2 linked regions of the Drosophila melanogaster genome follow. The protein of the gene in region 2 interacts with the protein of the main gene of each other region in a pairwise test. Each region holds a gene or a part of one and is shown on either strand. Other genes may lie near its edges.

Evidence for each region.
Region 1: the proteins of CG10086 (region 2) and Ubc2 interact in a two-hybrid assay, tested with the Drosophila melanogaster proteins (2 studies listed by BioGRID).

Annotation. Positions count from the first base shown.
Region 1 is NT_033779.5:10,761,082-10,773,570, reverse strand, and holds Ubc2 (ubiquitin conjugating enzyme 2), read left to right. Parts: upstream 1-5,631; 5' UTR 5,632-5,914; intron 5,915-6,484; exon of another isoform or gene 6,485-6,558; 5' UTR 6,559-6,579; coding exon 6,580-7,180; intron 7,181-7,295; coding exon 7,296-7,380; intron 7,381-7,440; coding exon 7,441-7,453; 3' UTR 7,454-8,561; downstream 8,562-12,489. Other genes in the region: CG31869 (uncharacterized protein), read left to right, coding at 1-536; CG17127 (uncharacterized protein), read right to left, coding at 2,290-2,586; CG6724 (uncharacterized protein), read left to right, coding at 3,838-3,896, 3,957-4,623, 4,681-4,927, 4,995-5,284; CG6495 (uncharacterized protein), read right to left, coding at 8,763-9,128, 9,185-9,714, 10,480-10,855, 10,927-11,045, 11,253-11,744, 11,921-12,065. UniProt on the Drosophila melanogaster protein: Catalyzes the covalent attachment of ubiquitin to other proteins.
Region 2 is NT_033777.3:7,786,068-7,798,361, forward strand, and holds CG10086 (uncharacterized protein), read left to right. Parts: upstream 1-4,565; 5' UTR 4,566-4,659; coding exon 4,660-4,774; intron 4,775-5,603; coding exon 5,604-6,653; intron 6,654-6,811; coding exon 6,812-7,056; 3' UTR 7,057-7,416; downstream 7,417-12,294. Other genes in the region: CG18748 (uncharacterized protein), read right to left, coding at 302-474, 534-1,116, 1,177-1,385, 1,451-1,600, 1,662-1,776; CG18746 (uncharacterized protein), read right to left, coding at 2,305-2,555, 2,647-3,241, 3,392-3,600, 3,664-3,813, 3,929-4,040; CG2641 (uncharacterized protein), read left to right, coding at 8,142-8,253, 8,803-9,152, 9,526-10,081, 10,181-10,452; CG18744 (uncharacterized protein), read right to left, coding at 11,090-11,241, 11,304-12,272.

The sequences.
Region 1 (12,489 bases), on a different chromosome or scaffold from region 2:
CCTTTGAGGTGGACCACAGGCATGTGAAACTGGCGACCGATACCAGCCTGGATGGCAGTGGCAGCGGAAGTGGTGGTGGCGACATCGATCTCTACCAGGATAAGTCTTCTACCACCGAGGAAATGATGGCGTCCGGCTCATCCATTCACGAGAAGAGCTCCCTGGTGCCACTGCTGATGTACAGTGGCGAGGATATATCCGGGGAGACGCGCATCCAGAACGGCAGCGATCTGCAGCTGGAGAAGATCAGCCAGGGTGAGGAGGTTGAGCTTGGCAGTGGGGAAATCAGGGAGCCCGTCACCCCCAAAACCAATGCCGTATCCACGCTGGAGATCGATGAACTGGGCTCGGGAGCGGGCCAGGTGGGCGGTGTGGATCCCAAGGCCGATGCCAAGAGCCTGAAGCTGGACGAGAGCCAGGAAACGGTGGCCAGGACCAGTGCCAGTGGACTGGACAAATCGTCGGCGAGGGCCGAGAAGAGCTTTGTGGAGCGGGCCCTGCCATTGGGGCGTCTATACCTCCAGCGCATCTACTGAGGATCGCCGCCTGGAGTGGCTCTACTTGACATATTTAACCCTTTTATTGTACATACGGACACCATGGGGCCTAGTGGCCTGCAAAGCAGCGAATATCCAACCATTCAAGTGAGCAGAATGGCGGCAGATTGTTAGGTTTAAGTAGCCAGAAGAAAGGGGAAGAAGATTCCATTATCATTTCCATAGACTGCATAGAACGACCTTTGAATTTATCAACTTTACGAACGTAATCATTAACTAACTAATGTATGATTAGCAGATTAGCAAAGCTGGGCTCCCCAAATGCAATAACGAAATGTTTCCATTATCTGGCAATCCATATTGCTTAGTTATACTTCTAATTTATACGTACTGAGCTAAGTGCACTGAAAACAAAATCAACCATTGTCCCCCACATTTGAAAATCATCGAATAAGTCGCAACATAAACGAAGGAGAAATTATTTAACTTGTTTTATCCCATCATGATTTTATTTAATTTGTAATTTATTTCATAACGAATGCAAATGATTTTGAGAAATGGTTTAATGCAATGGCCAACTGTGTAGTCCTCTTTGAATTGAAAAGCTTTTAAGTTTAGACTGAATATGGCAAAGTTTTAATTTAAAGCAATTTACTCCTACTTTAACCATAATTTATATACAATTTAAACTAATTTTACTTTGACATTGAGTCTTGATAATTATCGTTGGATTTTCCTAGAAAGGAAAATCAAAAGCTCGAGTGAATTTCAAAGCTGACGAGCGGAGAAAAGTGTCAAAATGAAAACGCAGTCATTCTTTAGTTAGTACGTACGAGTATAATAAATAATTAATTACCTATATGAACATAATTTATTTAGGCGATGATCGTGCACACTATCACTCACACACATACCACACAGAATTTTTGAGATAATTAAAATATATTATGAAAATACTTTAACTAGCGTAAATTTAGATTGAAGCTCATTTAACAATGTATGAAGTACGAAATAAAAATGAGGTAATTCTAAACACACAAGATAAAAGTTTTAAGTGGTTCATATCATATTTGGGAATATTTATTACCACAAATGATGCAAAAATCAGGGCCCTATAAAATACCCTACGATCATCGGACCCACCCAGATGTTATGCAAGCAGCCCCTCTGTACCTGCGGGCATGCCACGCCCCCTCCACGTACAACTCATTACACATGCAAGTGCATGTGGCGGCAATTACCAGAAATTAAATAAACAAACCGAAGCCCAGCAAAAAGCAACAAAATACAAAATACAAAAAAAAATAAATAAAAGTCCGAGGAAAACAATCACGACGACAACTGTTGCATCACGACCGCAGCACAAAAGTTGCCGGCGGGGCAACCACTCGGGTTACCAGCGACTCCATCGCCATTCCCATCCCCGGGTTACGTAACAAGGTTGAGGATAGGATACCATGCCATGCGATAGCAATGTGCCGACTTTTATTGTTAATTCGTATGCGCAGCGGGATCAGCGAGGAGAAAGTCGGCGAAGATCGTTAGGAAAAAGCCACAAATCAAACCAATAAATCACTCGTTTCGATTCGAGAGTTCGTTTGCAGAGGAACCAACTGGTTTTCGGGGAGGATCACTTTCGCTTTTAATATTTTTTTCGGATTTTTTTTTCCAATTGTTTTGGGTGGTAAATAAACGCTGCGATTAAATACTTGTAATGTTTTCGTTTTATTAGTGAGAAACTTAACAATGAGGACGAAATGCAATGAGCTAACCAAGGAAGTGGTCCTACGACTTAGTTGCGACCGATCTGGTCGACCTGGGACTGCAGGTTGTTTATCACCTCGGAGGGCACCTGGTCGCCGAGGATCTCGAAGAGATTGATGCGCTGGTTGCCGGGTATCTGCTCGTACGCGCCCAGCTCGATGCCCTCCTGCACGTTCTGGATCTGGGCATCCTTGGGGATGAGAAGCGTCTGCTGCGCCTGCCGGATCGCCTCGTTCGTGTAGGCGGCACCCTCGCGATTCTGGGGCAGGGATTGGGCACCAGCCAGGAGCAGGGCGAGCATCGAACACAGCGCGAACACTTTCATTTTGTGGGTTTTCTCGAGGGGATTCAACTGCAAGAGATGCACGGATTCAGTGGCGCTCGATGCGGACTGGATTTGGTTATGGTCTTACCTTGCGCGCGTCGTTTGTTGTAATGTTTCGGCTGCGCAGGCGCAATGCCCGTTTTATAAGCTGAGCTGCGCCGCTGGAAGCCCCGAAAATCTGGAAAGCTTTAACTCTTTCATTTCGCTTCGTTTCTGGTTTTTTGTAAAGCCAAAATGGTGGCACAAAGTAGTAGTACCGAAAAAAAGTGTTATTACTTCCCAGCTTAATATCCCCATCGACCCATTAAGGTGAATACATTTTTTATTGGAAATTTTTTATTTTCTTGGGCATTTGTCCAATTTTGATGCGAAGGTTAAGCGCCACTTCAGAAATGTCAAGTGGCATTTAACCTTCCAGTGAACACTCGGCCGCAAAGTGGTCTTTCAGGTGCTATCTGGTTCATATTAATAGCCTGAACGTAAAATATTAACAATTACCAGTCTTTGAAGATTGAAGAGTCATTTACAAATTGCCGCCGCGGCTGTGCATTTTTTGGTTTCTTATTTTTCCATTTTGCGTAAGACGATCAAAAGGAAGAGAAGCAGTTAGTGGCTAAATTACAGCAAATCATCTGCGCCTGATTTGCTTGCAAAAAATATTTAATTATCAGTATTGCGAATTGGCTCGTATCTCTGTAAGATTTTTTTGTAATAAAAAAAAGGAGAAACGACAAAGCAGTGGTTATGCAATCAGCGGTTTTTCGAATTTGATGAGTAATATTTTAGAGAAACAAAATCAAAGTGATTAGAAATACCATACACTCTATTAATATCTTTTTATTTGTTAAAGTAATCGGCAAATTACACTTAAGCAAGCTATTATAATTATGCATAGTTTTAACGCACCAAAAAATTTGAATTTAAAAACTCCGCTTAGTAGTAACGGGTGATAACAAGACGATAAGGCATTTCGATAAGAGCACAGCGATAGCAATGCGATAACTCTTATTCCGGCATGCGCTTCGGCGTTTTTTAGTGTTTTTGCATGTATTTGTTGCATTTACCATCGTTCGTTTAAAAACACGCTTCTTTTCAATTTAATTTTACACAACGATCTCCCGAAGGAAGAACCTCTAGTTTAGTGGTCAACACCTTGTACCACCTGCAGGAGTTAAGTCATAACCGTAGCAAACACACGCGGGAACACCCCAATCCCAATCCAGCCAAAAAGAAACGCACGTGGGCCAGGAGATGGATGTGGATAACGGCGAGGGGCAGGTGCAGGTGCACCTGAAGACCAAGCAGGAGCAGTGAGTGTCCATCTAGAATCTCTATCAGTAGAAGATTTTAATCAAGATACCCTATTTCAGCTATGCCGTGCCTGATGTGCCCTATGCCATCGATGGCACCGTCACCACCGTGGAGCTAAACACATTCGTGAACGCACTGTTGCGTCAAAAAGATGGCTCTTCCGACACGGACTTCGACTTCCTGGTGTTCGATGAGTACCTGCGTGGCCGGCTGTGCGATCACCTGCGCGAGAAAGCCATCAGTTTCGAGGACGCCATCGAGATCGAGTATGTGGAGCGGTTCCCGGCGCCAGAGCCACAGGATTGCCTGCTGCACGACGACTGGGTGTCCGCGGTGAAGGCTAGAGGAAAGTGGATCCTCTCCGGGTGCTACGACAACACCCTGAATTTGTGGACCAACAAAGGCAAGCACATTCTCACTATTTCTGGTCACACGGCGCCCATCAAGGCGGTGGACTGGATATCGCTGGACGAGGAGACGGGACGTTTTGTGTCCACATCGCAGGATCAGACCGCCATGCTGTGGCAGTGGAACGTGGGCTCCAACTCGGTGGAATGTGTCTCCGTGTGCAAGGGCCACGAGCGAGGCGTCGACAGTGTCAGCGTGAGTCCGGATGGTCTGAGATTTGCCACGGGCTCTTGGGACACGATGTTGAAGGTGTGGTCAGCAGAGCTGGACGATGCAGTCGAGGGCAGCTCAAAGCGGATGAAAGAGAGCGGTGTGAGAGTGAGTAGTCTTGCCATTTATAATTAGACTTGTAATCAGCTTTACAATTCCTTTCAGACCCCCAAAATTACGCTGCAGGGACATCGTGAGAGCGTATCAGCCGTGCAGTGGATGGATGCTACCACTCTGCTAACTGGCAGCTGGGATCACACACTCAAGGTGTGGGATCTGAGTCTTGAGGGCATCAAGACCGAAATATCCACCAACAAGTCCATATTCGATGCGAGCTACTCAAAGCTGAATCGGCTGATACTGACTGCTTCGGCGGACAAGAATCTGCGGCTCTATGATCCTAGGACAAACCGTAAGATCTAATACTCCAATATCAACAATGGAACTTCCACCTAACCAATATAATTCGGATCTTTCAGAGGGATCAGTGGTAAGGAATACCTATCTGGGACACAATGCCTGGGTGCAGACCGTCATGTGGTCCACCACGGAGGAGTTCCTATTTGTCTCCGGCGCTTATGACAACCAGAACAAGCTGTGGGACTGCAGGAGTCCCAAGGCCCCACTGTACGATCTTCTGGGTCACGGTGAAAAGGTCCTGGACATCGACTGGTCCAATCCCAAGTACATTGTATCTGGTGGTGTCGACAACACGGTGCGCGTATTCAAATCTCGCAAGGCGCTAGCGGAAGAAGCGGAGACGAAGTAATCCCAAAACTTGTAAACTTTTTATAAATACAAAACTAGTTTAAACTTTAAAGTAAATATTGAAAGATTTTACATCTGGGGTGTTACACTTAAATTATCGAAGTGGGTGAAGCAGAGAGGTATTCAAAGTGTATTATACATGGTGTAAATATTCTTGTTTTTTATTTCATTTACGAAATAGTTAGATTTCAATACTTGAATATTATTTTTATGGTATCCGCTTCCGAGTTGCCACAGTGCTAGAAAAGGCAAAAAACGGTTGCCAGAAGCCGAACATCGATAGTTCGCTAAGGATGAGCGGACAGCGCGAGCACCTAGAGACGGACCCGGACCGATAGCTGGCTACAAACATACAAATTATCGAGTTTCTAACAAAGATAAAGTCGGCTCTGCGTCGCCTCGTAATTTGCCAACTGTAATTTAGCGAAATAACAACGATCGCGACCGTGAGCCGCCGAGGAGTTTGGAGCGCCGACACTGCCACCCACCAAGGACGCCAGCGGAACAGCCGTGCATCCACTGCGAAGGCCGTGTGCGCGAGAGTGCGAGCGAGAGGGCAGCAGGCGACACAGGGAGAATCATTTTCGCAAGTGTTGTGATAGAAAAAAGTGAAAGAAACTGCAATAGTGAGGTGTGTATAGTGCTTCACGGGCTGGTCCCAAGATAGACCCCACCTAATCAGCGTCCAAATTCCGCGAAATTGTGCAATCGAGCTGCAGGCGGCGGAGTCAGCACCGTCATCATCATCCTCCGCCGTCGGCGGCGGCATTTTGCAAATGTCTGCTGATTGATTTTTTGCGGCATCCAGCACATGCTCTCGAAACTTTGGGGGCAAATGCTTGTCCAGCTATCACCTAATCCTGTCCAGCATCCACTGGCCTGACAACGAATCCCATGCAAAACCCACTTTTTACTGTCGGGGGTTTGCCAAAATGGCCGCTGCTCAATAGAAATGCGTGCGTTTGTGCGAAAAAAAGCAAACCCCTGTCATCATAAAGGGGCACAAACTGGGTGGAAAACCAGGTCAAGGACCCTGGGGAAGCCCCGTCCAAGATTCGCGTATAATTGCCGACTCCACTGGCCATACTTTTCACATCAACTACATTCGTACGCACAAAGTGCAGGCAAGAAGGGATTTCCCTTTAAAAATAAATGTGAATCCCAAGTAGGCTTTGGCTTCATATTTCACCAGTTTTCTATGGAAATTCCCTGCTGAACATAGTGGATCGTTTACATAAACCATTATCTAACCAAACATCAAAATACTCATTTCAGTTCGAAGAAACGAGACCAAAAATGTCTTCAACCCCAGCAGCGGGCAGTGCCGCCGAGGTGGCCACCTCCAGTGCCACCTCAAATGCGCCCAGTGCACCCAGCACAACGGCCAGCAACGTGAGCAATACCAGCCAGCCGACGACTGCCGGAACTCCGCAGGCACGTGGCGGCAGGGGCAGCAACGCCAACGGTGGTGCCTCCGGGAGCAATGCCGGTGGCGGAGATGAGCCGCGAAAGGAAGCCAAAACAACGCCCAGGATATCCAGGGCGCTGGGCACCTCGGCCAAGCGCATACAGAAGGAGCTGGCTGAGATCACACTGGACCCACCGCCCAACTGCAGTGCCGGGCCCAAGGGCGACAACCTGTACGAGTGGGTATCCACCATACTGGGACCACCCGGATCCGTCTACGAGGGCGGCGTCTTCTTCCTCGACATACACTTCTCGCCGGAGTATCCCTTCAAGCCACCCAAAGTCACGTTCCGCACGCGCATCTATCACTGCAACATCAACAGCCAGGGCGTCATTTGCCTGGACATACTCAAGGACAACTGGTCGCCGGCGCTGACCATATCAAAGGTCTTGCTGTCAATTTGCTCCCTGCTCACAGACTGTAATCCAGGTGAGACTTATTTTTTTTAGACTTTGATATACAGTGTCGTGTTCTCCACTTTGATTTAACTTTTCCTAGGACTGTAGTAAATATGATCTCATGTTTATATCATGTGTCTTTACAGCCGATCCGCTGGTGGGCAGCATTGCCACGCAATATTTGCAGAATCGTGAGGAGCACGATCGAATTGCGCGTCTCTGGACAAAAAGGTGAGTTGTCGCTGGAAAAGCGAGTAAACAAACTTAGTAATCTGTGTGCTTGTCTTTTAGGTACGCAACATGATGCGTAAGTTTTGGCAACGTGCATGTACCACAAACCGAAAACTGCAACAACAGAAACGAAAATTCGCATCTTGCAACGGAGAAAGTCTATTTTATAAATATATATTAAAGTACGATAACTACTAAATTAACAGTAACAACTACCGTAACACGAAAAGCAACCGCCAACAGCCAGTCGATCCAATCCAATCTAAATTCAGTCTATATTTATATCACGTTAATACAGAAGTTGTAAAAAAAAAAAAACATTTGGAGATTTCTTGAGTTGTATTTTTCGGAAACTAGTTTTGTTTTTAATTCGCTTAGCAACCGAAAACATTGTAACGAGTCACATTCGATGAAAAACTGCATCATGAATTGCACATTGACATATTAAACTATAAACTATTCAACTGCATAATAAATATAAATACAATTAGTTTACATTATATGTGTACAGTGTTAAGTGAAAATGGAGCTAAACGAGTAAAGAGAAAAGCCTATTTTAATGCGTAATGCGTAATATTAATGCAACCAATGTCAGGGCAGTAAACTTCGTAAAAGATGATTTTCATTCAAAAAAAAAAAAAAAAACTGGCCACAGCAAGGAAAATTCTCAACAACAAAAGACTAAAAATGAAGTGGTAAACGAAAAACGAAATAAATCTATGTATACAAAACTTAAGACAACCTATTCCAAATTCCAAAACAAAATTAAATAAATTTGTGTTATTTATATATGAAATCGGATTCGGTTTGATTTTTTAATGTGATATTTTTAAGCGTTCGAAATTTGTTTTTTTGGTCAAATACTACCTTTCACTAATAATGATTTTAGACTTGAACATTAAAAAGGCTCCACCACAGCGAAATTTGTTATTTTAAAGAAAGGCAATTACGAGTATAGTGCTGATATATAAAGGAAAAGAAAAGAAAAAAAGAATATAAATAAAAACCAACTTCCTACTATTTTGTAGTTTTAATGACTAAACCAGTCATCGTCGTCACTTCATTGAAAAAAAAACTGAGAACAAGATTTCGTAACAAAGTAATTGTAAGTTTTTTTCGTAACCAAAACAAAACTGAAATCGCAAATGGAAAGGAACTTAAATAAAAAATATTATAAAATTACTTTTCGACTCATTAATCGGTCCACAGGTAAGGCGATCGCTATGTTTAAGTTTTAGTTTTATTTGATATATCTTTGTTTATATAAAATACGTTTTTCATTACACAATTAATCGTAAATATATATATCCTCACGCTTCCCCGCACGTGGAACAACACAACGAATCTTGGCTAGCCCCCGACCTAATCCGCAGGCAACCGGCTTACAGATACATGCCGTTGACCAGGAAGTCCGCCTCCTGTGAGTAGGGCGTCTTGCCGCCCAGTCGTCGTGCCCTCCGCGTCACCGTCCGCATCCTGCACCCGATAAGAATGGCCAGCGCAGCGGTGACCAGCAGGCCCAGAGTCAGCGAGAGGACCGCCCCGCCAGGTCGCTCCGAGTGACCGTCGTGATCGCGGAACTCCATCGCCAGGTTGTCATGGATCATCTTGTACTGCTCGTGGACGGGGGAAGCGGGAACCGGCAGGGCTGGAAGGGATCCCTCCGGTTGCAACTTGTTTTGCTCCAGGGCAAGTTCAATGGGATCCTTGGCCGTCTTCGTCTTGACCTTCTTGTGTTTGTGCTGCTTCTGTGGTTTTAAAATGAATGGTTAATCTTAATCTATATTCATTCATCAGATCTTACCTTTTTTGGTGCCTCCGTGTACGTTTCCTCATCGTAATCATCGTAGTCCCCATCTGCCGCTGGACCCTGATTTTTCCCAGCTACGGGTGCTGCATTTAGGACTGGCAACATGGCTTGCTGCGCAGCTGGCGGAGATTGGATGGCCGGAGCAGCGGCGGCATAGACATGACCAGATTGCTGGGGCATCAGGGACTGCGACTGCTGCACGGGCGACTGTTGCTGCGGAATTAATGGAGCCTGCTGTGGCCACACCACACTCGCTTGCACCTGCTGCTGCTGTTGGCCAGCTGGAGCCTGGAGTTGCGCCGGCTGCTGTGGCATGTAGATTCCTGTGCGTGACATCCCGTATACAGCCTGGTTGGCCTCGTAGCCGGGCAGTTGCAGCGTTGGGGATTGCCCCTGAACCTGAACCTGACCTGCTCCCGCCATCTGACCCGGAACCTGGAGTGGCGACGGCGGTGGACCCTGTCCGTTTGCGGGCTGCTGCAGCTGGAGGCCGCCTTTATGGCTAAATATGTGGCTCTGTGCGTCTGTAAGAAAGCGGAGGCGAAGGCGTCACTAGGAAGCATGAAGTGTGTGTATCCCGGTTAACGCACAGCTAATTGAATTAATTACGCGCAGACAGAGGCACTGCACGCATAGGGCACAAGCATTCGTAAATCAATTTCGAGCGACGGCAGCTCCCATTTCACACAATGAAAACTGATGGGCTATTTGCGATTTTCCCAGCAGAAAAGCCCTCCGGAACAAGGGAGCGAGTGTGTCGTGGCCAAGTGGCCATGGCAGTGGGATCATTGCGTGCACTGTGCCGGCCATTTGTGTGCTAATGTCGCACTGGAGCGCCGTAGCCTCCGGGTATCACTCCCCATTCCCTGTCCTCATAAATATTTACTCAGCTTTTAGTTTTTGTTGGGCTGGAGTGCCTGGCTAGAACTAATTGCTCCTGGACACTCAATCGAGTTTAATTAACAACTTAATGCAACTTAGTGCAGTGCTGCAGCAGCTTTACTGGGTTGTGAGGCATAAAATAAAATAAATTATATAAAAAAAATGAAGAAAAGCCCTGTATGATTGCCAATCATAAGTTTGTTAGCGTTGAAGATTCTATAGATAAGACAGATATCATCAATTGGGAACTACATCGTATACTACAGCTGCAAAAGTTTCATTTCCTAAACTTTGTTGTGTTAATAATCATTAAATCTAATCTTTGACACATCATATGCTTTTAATACATCCTATCAACTAACTTCTAATCTTAACTATATTTTCCTAGACCCCTTATCTATACTAACCCGTGTTGATGATCTCCGTCTTTGGCTGCGATGATTGTTGCTGCTGTTGCTGTTGCAGTTGCTGCTGCGGCAGCTGCTGCTGCCCTTCGGCAATCATCTTGCGGTTGGCCCAGGCAGCGGCATCTTCACGATTGTTCACCATGGGCGGTGGAGGCGGCGGTGGCGGTGGTGGTCCCAAAACAATGACATGTTGTGGTTGCTGCTGCGGCTGTTGCTGTTGCTGCTGCGGTTGCTGCTGCTGCATCTGCTGGGCCACGACCTGCTGTGTCTGTTGCACGTTCTGCACGGGCACATACTGCGACACCATCGGCTTCACGGGCTCCAAATTGCTGCTGGTAGTGGCCGGTTTTGTGGCCGTCGACAGCACGATGTTGCACTGAAAATGGGGTTAGCAATTAACGGTTGAGGGAGTGTGTGTATTTGGCTGGAGGTGAAAGTGCAACTCACTTCCGGTCCCTCGTCGCTGCCATCCTCGCACTGGGGTATTCCATCGCAGGCATTGTACACCGCGATGCACTCGCCGGAGTGGCAGGTGAACTGGAAGCGTCCACAATGCGCGGCGGGAACTGAAAAAGTGGTTACGTTAGTTTCTCGAAGGGGAACAATTTTAAATAGTAGGTAATCAATCGTAGGAATTTTTAGATAATATTTTTAGTTTAAGATTGATTTAGATTTTAAATTCAAATTGTTCTTATATATATTCTAAGCTTCAAATCGCATATACCCGTGATTTCTATAAAGTACAAGGTATCGAAAACCCGACCACAACTCACCACTTTGCGATTGGTAAACTGGCGACTGGCCCACTCCCAGACCCACTCCCGTTCCCGTTCCCGTTCCCGATGTGGGAGCCACCACTGCGGCGGTGGAAACAGTGGGCTTGTCGCGCGCTTCCGGCTTTAGCTTCAGGTTGCTCAGCTCCCATTCCTGCTGCGACACATTGTTGCTGGGGATGTGGGGCAACTGCGGACGCGGTGTGGTCACCAGCTCACCGACTGGCTTTGGCTGTGGATTCAGCACGGCACTCGTGTAGTTGGCGTGCCTGGTGAACTTGCAGCGGAAATCCTCCGGAGGACCGCACTCGAAGAGGTAGCAATAGCCACCCGCCTTCCGCTCGAAGATGTACACATCGCAGGCGTCCGTCTCGCAGCACAGCCTTTCGCATTCCTCGATGGTGTCCAGCTCAATGCCCTGGAGGTACTTGCCACCAATCGCCTGCGACTCTCCCGTGCGAATAATGGTGTTCTTATGCACATCAAAATGACCTGTGGGCAGAAGTCGAAAGAAACTCCAAAAGTTCGTAAATGCTCTTGTGTTGAAGTTTGTGGTCTTCTATATTATTAGGTGATTATTGAGTTATTATGGCCAAAGACACACAAACAAAAGACTAAAACTAATTACCAACCATAAAGCTGGATGTGGCTAACGAATTTGGTCTCACCTATGCACACCTCCAGATCCATGCGTTTGCTAAGCCGGTGCTCCGCCGGCGAAGATTGCAGGTACTCCAGGTACTTCACCTGCTCCGCGGTGGCTGCTGCTTCCGCGATCATCAGCAGGAAAGGCAACGCCAAGTTGGCAATCATTTCGCTGGCTAATGGTTATTTTTGCGGTTTTTCGAACGCGACTGGGCCTTTTCACTTCGGGCAGCTGGCGGTCACAGTTCACTTGGGGATTTCGGGGTTGGAAAGGCCGAGAAAGCGAAAGAGGCTTGTCCGAGGGCTTGCCGTGTTTACAATTTGAACACGCCTATTGATTTTTGGCCTTTTTGCGGGCTGCAAAAAAGAATCACCACAACACGCGTTCCTTCAATTTACACTTGAGCACGCAAATATCAGTTTATGATATGCGCTTTTCCATTATTTCGATGATTATTTTGATTTTTCGCTTGGTTTTCTCTGGATTTTGTGGCAAATACACGATGGCTGGCGAAATGTAAACCAATGGAAGTCGTTCGGAAAACTGGGAAACCCTCCACGAGCAGCTTTTTCACCCCCAGCTACATGGAGC
Region 2 (12,294 bases):
CGAGAACTCCAGACAGAGTGGAAGGAACCGCTTTTCGCGACGATAGCACCCACATGCCCACTTGGCTGCCAGAAATCAACTGAGAATAAAACAAACATTGCGGTTGTTCTATATTGGTAGCGATGGCCAGAAAAACTTTATCTTATCGCTGTCACAATTTTGAATTATACATTTTGCCAAATGCAGTCGAGCAGCAAATAGCCCTCATATCTCCGGAAAAATCCCAAGGACTTCTTGACAAGCAGGCGTGGGATGGGATGTCCAATGGTTCTCAAATGTAGAATAGTTTTTTCGCCCGCCTTCATTTCTTTTCCTCTTTATCCAAAGCCGCTTCCTTGCTCTTTTCTACAGTTGAAGTAGACAAATCGAAGACAGGATACAACGGCTTGTAAGACTTCTCTTGCGCATTTCCCGACTCTGACTGTTTCTCAGAGTCACTATGGGAATGCATGGCCTCGGCGTAGTTCGGTGGCGCTATAAAAATCGTATGGTTACATAATTGATATGGACATATTAAAACAAGGACAGCTTACATAGTGTGGATCCTTCTGACCAGGGATATGGGGGAGCAGCTGGAGCAAAAGCTCCCTCTCCCTCAATCAAAGTCAAAGCTCTTTGTTCTGGAGCCTCTGGCCCAGAGCTCTGCGGCGTATATTGCACCGCTGACGGCGATATCGGAACACCACAAATAGTCACCGGCATTATCAGAGTTCCATTGATATGCATGCCCTTCACCTTGGCCACAACCTCGATCTGGTATCCGATCTTGATAATGCGGCACAGATGGAAACATGAAGGCGGAGTAGAGGGTATCATCAGTTGGAAGTCGTACATTTTCCGGGAGTTCCTCAAAACTCCATCTGCCTTTAACTTGGCCACGGACTTGCGCTCGCACTTGGAACCTGAACTTAGATCACTGTAGTAGGTGATCATCATTGATAGTCCAACCTTCACTTCGTGCACCCGAATTTTGCTTTCGTTACCAATCAGAACATTTGCGGGTACCGTCTGACCAGGCACAAAGCCAGTCTGCGGCAAATTCAGCTCCAGCGTTAGAGGATCCGATCGGAAGGGCCAGACCCCAAAGGTTTTCTCAGTCTTGGCCTGCACGGGAACCTTAAAAGCGATTACATTGTTATAGCAGACCTCCAAAATTTCGTTTCATGTTATATTTACCTGTGAAACAGAGTTATAGGTGTTTATGTCCATCACTTGAATAACGGTGAAAGCTCTTGAGAAAATGCTGTCGTACTTCCACGGCTGAATGATATTGACATCCACCATATAACGTATACGACCATGAGTCCCCTCGAACGATGAGGGACAATTGATTGGAATTGGACAAGCAAAATTGTAGGACCTAGTTCCCGGCTCCAAAGCCATTTCTTTGCGAATACATAAAATGAAATTTTGACCAATTTCAATAACAAATTATCACTCAATATTTTACCAGGGCTAATTTCGGAACCCAAAAGATAAACTTTACTGGAAAGGTATTTCTCAAATCCATTGTACGACTCTGAAGTGGACTTGTTATTCGAATCAGTCTTGCTTTCGGTCCAATGGGTCTCTGCATAACCTTTTAGCTTAAGTCGAATTGCTTAATATGTAAAATGTTGCGAGAATTATATGAAGTATCGCAATCACAACTGAGTACTTACCTTTGATTTGAATCGCCTTATCAGTGCTCAGAGTCACTTGACCAGCAACCATTTGGCCCGCGTAAAAAACCCCTTGCGTGTTGTTGTGAAAAAGAATTTGGCAAATTATTCCCATGGTTTTTTATGGTTAAAGCACAAGTTTTAATGAATTTAAGTCTGTCGTTAATTGTTAAGATGTTTTCCCTTCAATTGCCGCAATCAAACTGAACTAAAAAGTTTCTTACCACTTATTTTGTGCAACGGAGAGCTTTTGGTAATTTATCTTATCAGTACACCCATAAATCTATTTATTGGTAAACCCAAAAACCCCCTACAATTTTTTTATACAATAAATAGATCATTCGTAACCAGCTAACATGAGAACTGAATTATCAGGTCCAAAAACAGCTGATACTTATATTTGTGGTGTAAAAACAAGTGCCCCCAAATGAGTTGAGGCTCTCGCATCTGAAGATAGCAATTTCACTCAAATAAATATATTAACTCATCGATAAGATATCGCACAACTCAGCAAATATTGCTCACTGAGGTCGACGAAAAGTTCCCGCAGTTTGCGTTCAACCACAGGGTAATTGTCATGTCTGTTGTATTTCGATTACTTATTAATTATTTACAGAGTGGGTACATTCATTTTTAAGCCCTTCTAAAGCCAAGTGCTTTTTTCTACACCTTCATTGACATAGCCGCCATCAGTCTTGGGTTCATTTGCTCTCAAAGTCATTTCGTCCACTTGGTTTGACAAATCAAAGACTGCGTATAAGGGTGAAAACACAATTGTTTCAGCTTTCCTCTCTTGTGATCCTTTTACACCTCTTTTCTGAGACTTTTTCTTCGATTTCGAGAACTTGTGCGGATCCGGGGAGATGTGTTTAGCCTCAGCATAACTCGGCGGTGCTAAAATAAATAAGTGATTCCTTGAATTATGATCTTTAAATTCGAATATGGAGTTTTGTATGAATTTCCTTAAAGCTCCTATTTTACTCACCAATTGAAGGATCCGCAGCCCAAGGATTGGGGCTTCCGAGTGCTTCTCCATTCTGTTCGCTGCCAATTAAAATCAAAGCCTTCGCATCTAGCTGCTGGGGTGGCAGAACTTCACCCCAAGTCCTTGGTTCTTTTTGGAGTTGCTTCGTTAGCGGGACACTTCCAATAGTTATGGGCATGTGAAGGGACTGGCCGCCATGACAACCTTTAACTCTGGCCTCCGCTTCCACCTGATAGCCGATCTGAATGATGCTGCATAGATTAAAGCAGGTTGGCGGAGTTGGCGGCACCTTAAGATCGAAGGTAAACTGCTGCCGGCATTTGGTCGACACACCTCCGCCTGTTTTCAGGACCATCTCAAAACGGTCCTTGTTGGTGTCCGCGGACGGGGGTTGACTGTAGTAAATCACCACCATAGTCAGTTTTACGGTTATGTCCTCCACGGCTACACCACTGTCATTGGAGACCATCACCTCCACCGGCACGATCTGTCCTGGCACAAAGCCACTCTGTGGAACAGAAAGTCGCATACTGAGTGGCGACGAGCGGCAGGGAAAACAGCAGAAAGTTCGCTGGGACTCCACTTGACTAGGTACCTAAAATTTATAAAATATAAAAATATAAAATTTTATACTTGACCATGGTACAACCAAAGACACTAGAATTAGACATTATTCTAATGTCTTTGGTACAACACATGGTACAGTGGACTATTCCATAGTGTGTGGAGAGACTAAGAAACATACCCTCAGCATTAGGCTTTCGGAGTTCAGGTCCATCACTTTGATCACAGTGAAGCATCGATTAAAGTTCAGATCGAACTTCCACGGACGCACGAACCTCACGTTCACCAGATAACGTATCCGACCTAGTGTCCCCTCGAAAGAAGAGGGACATGTGATGGGCAACTGACAGGCGAATCTATACGAGCTGGTGCCAGGCTCAATAAGCACCTCTGAAATGGAGCTTTGATTTCATTATCTCTAGATTTATGGTGATTTATCATCTTCGAACATACCTATGCTGGAACTAGACCCGTGCAGATAAGCCCTAGTGGCCAAGTAGTCCACATGTCCGTTGAATGATTCACCATTCGACTGATCATCCGGATCGTGTTCGGTATCCGCCCAGTGGGTTTCGGCATATCCCTTGATGTTAAGGATTACAGCTGAAGTAAAAATAAAAGCTATTTTAAGCCCCTGCAACACTTGCACTTCAAATCAATTAAGTCTTTTAGCAAGTAACGTTTGTTTTGAGTAGAGCAAAATGAATCAGCGCCTTACCTTTCACTGACTTTTCCTTCTCAGTTTTAATGACCACCTGTCCTGAAATCAACTGGCCTGCATAAAAAATTCCTTGGGAATTATTGCAGAACTCAATCTCACAGATTACCATTGTGCGGAATAATTTGTATGATAATCCGGGAGCTGTTTAACTTTTGCCCTGTCTGTGTCGTGGCTCCCAACAAACTGAAGTCACCCGCTGCGGCTATTTTTATTTTATTTTTTGTGCAGCATTTATTTGGCCAACATTTTTATTTTATCTTATCAATGCGATAGGTATCTCAGTATTTAAACACAAATTTTTACCATTGCTATCGGAGTATTTACATATGTAAGTGACAGCAATTTGAGAAGTACGAAATTGGCAGGCAGAACTGATCGATGAGGGCCAGTTTTCCCAAGGTTGAGATAGCGATGATAGGGCGTTGTACCAATAAAGAAATAGAGGATAATGGAGTCCCTGATTTATCGCATAAGTTGTTAATAAATTAATGAAGGAATTTCTCTCAACTGGCCGCGTTGCCAACTATCCAGATAGACAAATATTGCAGTGGGTTTTGTACTGAGTTGAGCCGATAAGATAATGCCAGCCGACGGTAAAACTGAAAATGAGAGTCCAGGCCATGTTAGCAATACAGTTGGCCCAGTTCGTGTTTAGCAGCGGGCGCGTTAGGATCGCTCGCAAATCTAAAAGCTCTGGAGAGGCATAAGCCCATTACCTATTCGCCAACATGTCGAAGAACTGCATGATAACGTTCGACCAGAATGAGCACGGCACCTACTTCACCGGCCAGGTGATAACCGGCAAGGTGATTGTCAATCTGAACAAGACCAAGAAACTGCGAGGTAAGTAAGACCAACTAGGATACCCCAACAGTACGGAAACTAGTGGGGGCTTTCGCTTATCGAGCGCGGCGTATCTTATCGCTTCGGATAATGTCAGGTTTGGCAAAAGCAAAAGATTCAACAAACCATTGAAATGGGTAATTAAGTGATAACTATGCGGACACTCCAAATGTGCGATAATTGATGATTCCTGGAGCCGAAGGGGAGCGATAACAACCTTACTTATAGTTGGGGATCTACCCAACGAATTATATTTTCTTTCGAGGAAATACCAGGGAACTTACTCACGGTTTTCGTCTGGGCTTTGCAGTGATATGGACAACAAGTTTTGTTGATTCTTCGAAATATATGTTTTCTACTTCTATTTAAAAAAAAAAAGGTTAATTTTTGTCTTTAAGTTATTTCATTTCCATTTTGCATCTGCGTGCTTGCAGCCCAAATCAAATATTTAAACAATTTGAATAATTTTATAGTGTGCGTCAACAGTTTCCGTATTAGTTAAATTTAAAATGCCCCTAAGACGCTTTTATTAACTGTTTTTGGAAATGTCTTTCAGTGCTTCTCGCTTTTGTTTTATCTTATCCTAATATTACCCCTACCTTATGAGGTAACCCAAAGAGATAAACAAAGTGAGCTAGTTTTATTAGGAAGCCCGTTGTATTTTTTTTTAACTTTTTTATTAAGGTACTGATTTCTTTGTCTATATTATAGCCTATATTATAGTATTATTATGGAAATATTATAAATGTTAGTCAGCACATCTCATATTTCTCTGTTAAGAAGTCATGTTATTGAAGATCTACATATTCTAATATTTCTTGTCTTTTAGGAATAAAACTGCAAATAAGTGGCTATGCGCAAGCCCAGTGGCGCATCCGCAGACATGGTAAGGCGGTGGCAATCCAAAACCCCAAGAAGCGATCAAAGCACCAGTACAGCGGGCGGGAGGACTATATAGCCTCCACCACTTACCTCATGGGTTCCGAGCAGGGCAGCAACTTTAACATGGACGCCGGCACGTACACCTACACTTTTGCTTGCCCCATTCCCAGCCACTGCCCCTCGTCCTTCGAGGGTGCCTATGGACACATCCGGTATCTGGCCAAGGTCACCTTTTTGAAGCCAGGAGCTTCCAATCGCACCCACAACGTGGGCTTCACTGTGCTAAAGCTGCTGGACTTGAACCAGGAGACCAAGATGCTCCGGGAACCGGCGAGCAATGAAGCCGTGGAACACTTTTGCCTGATGCACACGAAGCCCGTGCAGTTGAAGGTCACTCTCCAGCAGCAGGGCTATGTTCCGGGTCAGTTCATGTTGATCCACGCCCATGTGCGTAATGACTCCAGCTCCGATTGTCGGAAGCTACTGATCATGCTGCATTTGAGAGCCACATACACGGCGGATACGCCCTCGCTACGCACCACATCCGAGAAGATAATGCTGGTGAAGCGCGAGTGCGGTCCGGTGGCTCATAATGCGCAGAGGACTTACACGGAAACCCTGAGGATTCCGGCAACGGCGCCCACCTGCGAGCACCTAAGCAAGGTGGTGCGCGTATCTTACGAAGTGCGTGTGGTGGCTGTTATGAACTGGCTTATGGCTAATCCCCGGCTCATAATCCCTGTGACTATTGGCAACGTGCCCCTGGCAACTGCGGTGTCCGGACCGGACTTCCTGCCAACTAACGCCTTCCCATCTGGAAGTTCGCTGCCTGCCGACTTGCCATGCACCTCTACAAGGGCCATGGAACTGGCTCAGATGGCCGCAAGCGGGGTCAGCAACTCCGGCTACGAGATGGCCGAGGATCTAGAGGACTTCGAGCTTCCAGAGGATGGAGATGATGAGTTGGAGGCCGCCGACGATTTCGTACCAGATTTACGTGAGTACAAGAGAACAAAATATTTCTAGCTAGGACTTTGTTATGAAAGATGTTAAATAGAGCCCTTATGTATATGTTCTTTATATTTTTGTTATGCTATTGTGAGGCGATAGTTTCATTCTTCATTCTCCATATTTTTTATGTCATTTTTTCTATAGCTCCTCCTACCTACGAGCAGGCCATGTTCATGACCACTGATATTGCGGACACGGACGCGAACACGGTCAGCGAGGCCTCCCGATTTACTCCACGCTATCCGGTCTTCGATGTGGACACCTTCCAGAGCCCGCCGCCAAATCCTCCCCAGAAGAAAAGGCGCCGCCGACGCAGACGTCCTGCCGATCCTGGACAGTCGAAGCAACAACCGGAGAAACAACCAGTGGAGTCACCCGTGCAGATCTGAGGGCAGTTATCGCGAAAAATCACGACTATATCTTATCTCGGCAGTATTTATTTCTTTTACGGTTCGCCAGTGTACTTACCAAAATGTTTACTATATATGTATGTATATCGGAATGATAAACAACCCAGAATATAAAAGTGTCTACTGGGTGATACGCGATAAATTGCGACTATAGCCTAGACAACCAAGTCCATGAAGGCATTGAACTACAAATTTATTTATTCATTTATAAATTAAATTGAGTGGAGGACTTCTAGCTCAGTCCGTGAGTTTAAATACTTATGAGAGCTAGAAATTTTGATTTACGCATACATGCTCCCAATTTCTAATTCTATTGCTTGACAATTTCCATTAAAATGCAAAAAAAAAATGTATAACTTCCTCTCTATCTGAGTAACAGGTATCTGATCCGGCCCATTCCGAATTATATAGAATATATAGCATAGAAACGGACATGCATTTATCGCCTTAATACTGATCAAACATTCTCTCGACTGTCAAGATACCCTTTGGTTGCTACGCACCACGATAGAAAATCAGGAACTTCTTGGACTTTTGCGCGTTTGTAAATGAGTACAAATCATCATTAACAAACGTAATCAACTATCACAGACTTAAGTCCATAGACGACTTAACTTGATGTGATTCTTTTTCACCGTATTTCGTCCAAAAAATAATAACAACGCGATAATAACAACTCAACTAAACTAGAGCTTTCACAGAACCCACCTGATTTTTGTTTACAAATTTTTAGATTTGTTGTTGCCTTATTCTTCGTAACAAAACAAACAAAAAAGAGAACCGTTTATCAAAATCCGATGCCTCTCAATTTTGTTTTTTTTTTTTAGTGAGCGGAAGCCCCAAAAGCTCGCTCACCAGAAAAGCTTTGGCTCTCGCCAAGTGATGATGTCACTGACATCCCAGCTGTTGCAGACCGGCTATTCTCATTCTAAATTCTCACTTCGGGTGCGACGCTTGTCTGGTGCTAAATAAATTCACGTTGCGCGTCGCCAGTGAATAAGATCTGGAATTTCGAAATATATGTGCCAGCACCCACATACTAAATAATAGATTGCATTTCCAAAATGCCTTCCAGCTGCTCTTTTGAGCTCGATCGCCGCGAACCCATTTACTACAGTGGTGAGACGGTCAATGGAAGGGCCATTCTGACAACAACATCCGAAAAGTCTGTGAACGGTGAGTTTTAGTCGTTAAAAAGCGAATGGACTGATATGTTTTTAATTTGAGCGTAATCACTGTTGACTCTGTGATAACACCAAGCCGGTTTTATAGAATGCAGCAAACAAACAAGTTTGTTGTAGCGCCATAAAGTGTTTTGCTTCTTATATAAGAAGGATTTTAGCGACCATTTATGTGGCTTTAATTGTCTCAAATGTTTAATTCCTAGTATCCTAAATTGCATGCCCTGATGAGCTCAGTTCGCCCCTAACTACAAATTCATTGATCAATTTTTGCGTTTTTCAAATAGCCAATTCTAAAAACAAACTTGAAAGCTTTACAAAAGATAACAAAAGTATGTATACAAGCAAACAAGTATTTGATACAGTGCTCTGTATCAATTTCCATGTTCAGTTCCATTTTTGATTGGCGTAATCTCATTCTGCACTTACAGCAACTCCTTCGGAGTCCGAAGAAGGCTTTCACATACGTTCAACATATAAAGATTCGTTTTCGGATACAAACCATATTCAAATATCACTCTCTCTCTTTTCACTTTCTGATTAGAGGTATACATTCTTTTCGAGGGCGAGGCAAAGGTGCGATGGGATGAGCGGCGAACAAGGACGAGAGGTGGAAAGACCGAGCACTACACGGAGTATTTCCGAGGCAAGCAGCAGTACTTGTACACCCGGACATCGGTCTTTGGATCCGGGAATCTGCCGCCAGGTACGCACACCTACAACTTCTGCATTCCACTGCCCCTGGAATGCCCCTCATCAGTGGTGGCCCAGTACGGAAAAATCTTCTACGAGGTCTCCGTGGTCATCGATCGCCAGTGGCGCTTCAACAACGTCTTCAAGCAGCCACTGACGGTCATACAGACCTACAACCTCAACATGAGCCCCCAATTGCTGGTGAGTCCAAGGACAGGAACAGTTTACTAAAAGTTTAGATTGCACTAATCGGTAGTAAATCAATGCAGTTTTAAATTGTCCTGCGACAGATATTTAAGGACAATTAGACGAGTCATTCAAGTATAGAAACATTGCGTGCCTTATGGACGTAAATTCCGAAGTTATTAAACAAACAAGGGGTGTGTTCATTCAAACCAAAGCTATGGGACTAAATAAAAAATTTAAATAAATTAAAAATAAATTTTTTACGATCCTAACCTGTAGAAATGTAAACAAAAAAATGTTAATTAAACTTTAAAATTATATCAATAAGAGTAATTAGGTAATATTAGTTATTCCTAGGAACTAATAAATGCACACTCTTTTTCGACAGATGCCCCTAGTCCGAGAGGACATCAAGCACTTTTGCTGTTGGCCCTGCAGTTCAGGCCCGGTTCTATCGACATTAACAATACCCTTCGGTGGTTACGCGCCTGGTCAGAAGATACGCTTTACTCTGGAGATTGACAACCAGTCGAGTGGCTATGATCTGAATGGGATCGAACTGAAACTTAAGCAGATTTACAAATTCCAGGCTCAAACGCCGCACCACAAAACTCGCGAAAAGGAGCACAGCCTCAACAAAAGTTGCCAGCAGGAGCGCGTTTTGAGGCTCTCAAAGAAAAAAATTGAAGGAACCCTGGCTATTCCAGCAGTACCGCCCTCTTCCCGCACCGAAGGCATCATTTCGGTTAGTTACCAAGTTATCCTCACGATCAGCACTGGCGACTGCCACGTGGACTCGGACTTTGAGGTGCCGATTGTAATTGGCACCATACCATTGATCCAAAGTGCCGAGAATCCAGCCAGTGCAGCACAGTGGATACCGGAAACGCCGGACACTCCTGCCGGAGCCGCCGCAGATCTGCCTCCCAGTTATGACAAGTGCAGTAAGTATATAGCGAAATCATAGATACTCTTCATTTGAATTTGTAAATGCTTAAAGGTGCTTGATCATTGTATAATTCTTATACTATTCATGTTTTTAGAGCCACCAACCTTCGAGGAGGCCACAAACTTTGGTGAAAGGTTCATCGACATCGATCAGGATGAGCACAATCGCACGGATGACTTTATTCCGCGTTACCCCATGTACACCAACTTTGCCATGCCATCGGCTCCACCTCAACCCCCTGAAGAGTTCGCTACCAATCAACCAGTACCCGTTCTGTCACTACCTCATGATCCCACTGCCCCATTGGTCGGTCAAAACAATACTGACCGTCCAACACAATCGTACGGTTGGAACACTAACTCATAAAAAAAAGAAGACATAATCTCATAAAATGATTTTACTTTGATTTAGCTTTGGATGTTACCAATAAACATAGTTTAACCGTTTATCGTGAAACTAAATCTTAGGAATATATATAAGTTATCCAACCAAATTTTCTAGTTTAGAAAGTCATCAATGAACAAAATTTCCTTGAAAATATATTTTAAATTCGAAATTCTTAGCGTAACACTCGCACTTATGTGACGAATTATCCAACTCTATCTGTAGGTTCAACTACAATATATTTGTTGGGCAATGGGCAATAAATCAGATTCTATGCAAATCCTTTCTAATTAAGTCAACAATATCGAATCACATCGCTAATATTCTCGATTCCACATAGAACACACTTATCAATACTTATCACTTACTTATCAATACCCACACATCAATATTTCTTTTATTAAATATAAACAAAATTTCAAAATTGGTACTTGAAAGTGAATGCGTTAAAAGATCGTTCTAGGTATATGATATTGATTCTTAAAATAAATCATTCCCTTGATTTAAAATTGCCACCAGTAAAAGTATCAGTTACCACTTGTGATAATGGAATAATATATATTTGTGTAATTTTGCTAGTGAATGAAATAAATTAGTAAAATAAAATAGTGGCGTGCATTTAATGAGACTTCACTTCCTCCGATTGAGTCTGGTCCATTTCGTAGTAGACATAGCGTGGTCTAAAATCCAACTGTTCGCCGGACAAGTAATGTTTGTTGGTCTTATTCAGATTGGTGGCTACCATGAACTCGGCTTCCCGGAAATTCGAAGCTAGAAAGAAATTCGAAATATAAAATGCAAACGGATATTCTATAAATCGGGAATAGACGTACCCAAAGATGTGGTGGAAATGCTAAAATTCGGAATCAATGTTGATGCTGTTTCGACTGGAGGAGTTGGTTCCGGAGCAGTGCCATCAATGGGTTCTTGCATTAGGAGTTTGCCAGGACAGGGCGGCGTCACATTTCCAATGATGACCGGCATCCGGGCCGCAATTAAGCGCTTTTCCTGCTGAGTTGTGACCAGCACCTCCACCTCGTAGTTGAGCTGCAGGCAGGCACATCCTGCCACAGTCAATGTGGCCGCTGTTTGTGGCACTTGCAGCATGTGAAGATGCTGAAAATTCTGCAGTTCTCCACGGGGGAGGTTGTGGAGCTCGTGGCGGCTGCTTAGGACAGTTTGTCGCTCCACCTTGGTCTCCAAGCGTTTGGGCTTATTCTTTAGATGGGCAACGTAAGTGCTGATCTGAACGAGGGAATACACCGCCTCGCGAAGTGTCAATTTCTCCGGGTTATGCAGCTTTAAGTGAACAGAAATACCTGCTCCTGGCGAATAACCCTGCCTGGGAATCTGGAGCTGCAGATGAAGTGGCTTCATCCAGAATCTAAGGCGAGGAGTCTGCTCATAGATCTGGATCTCACAGCTCCGCGTCTCCTGGCTCAGAGAGTTCTGCGGGAAAATCTGCAGCTGGCGTACATGGAGCACCTCCAGCGGACGATCTGCACTGCTGTGGATGAGCACTTGGAGTGTGTACCGTATGTGTCCGTGGCCCCCCTCGAAATTCCCCGGACAGTTCTTGGGCAGCTTCACATGGAAACCGTAATTGTAGGTGCCCGCCTCCATTATCTGTGGCTGTGCGGCCTCCGAGCCCACAAAATAATCGATTTTGGCAAAATAATCCACGCGATAATCAAAGTCCAAACTCTGAACCACCACTGGCTGCTCGTTCTTTTTTTGATTCTTGTGCTTTTGGGGCTGCTGCCAGGCAGTGCTCGCATATCCATTGGCCTCCAGGCATATTGCTGAAATAAAGAGCATAAGCCA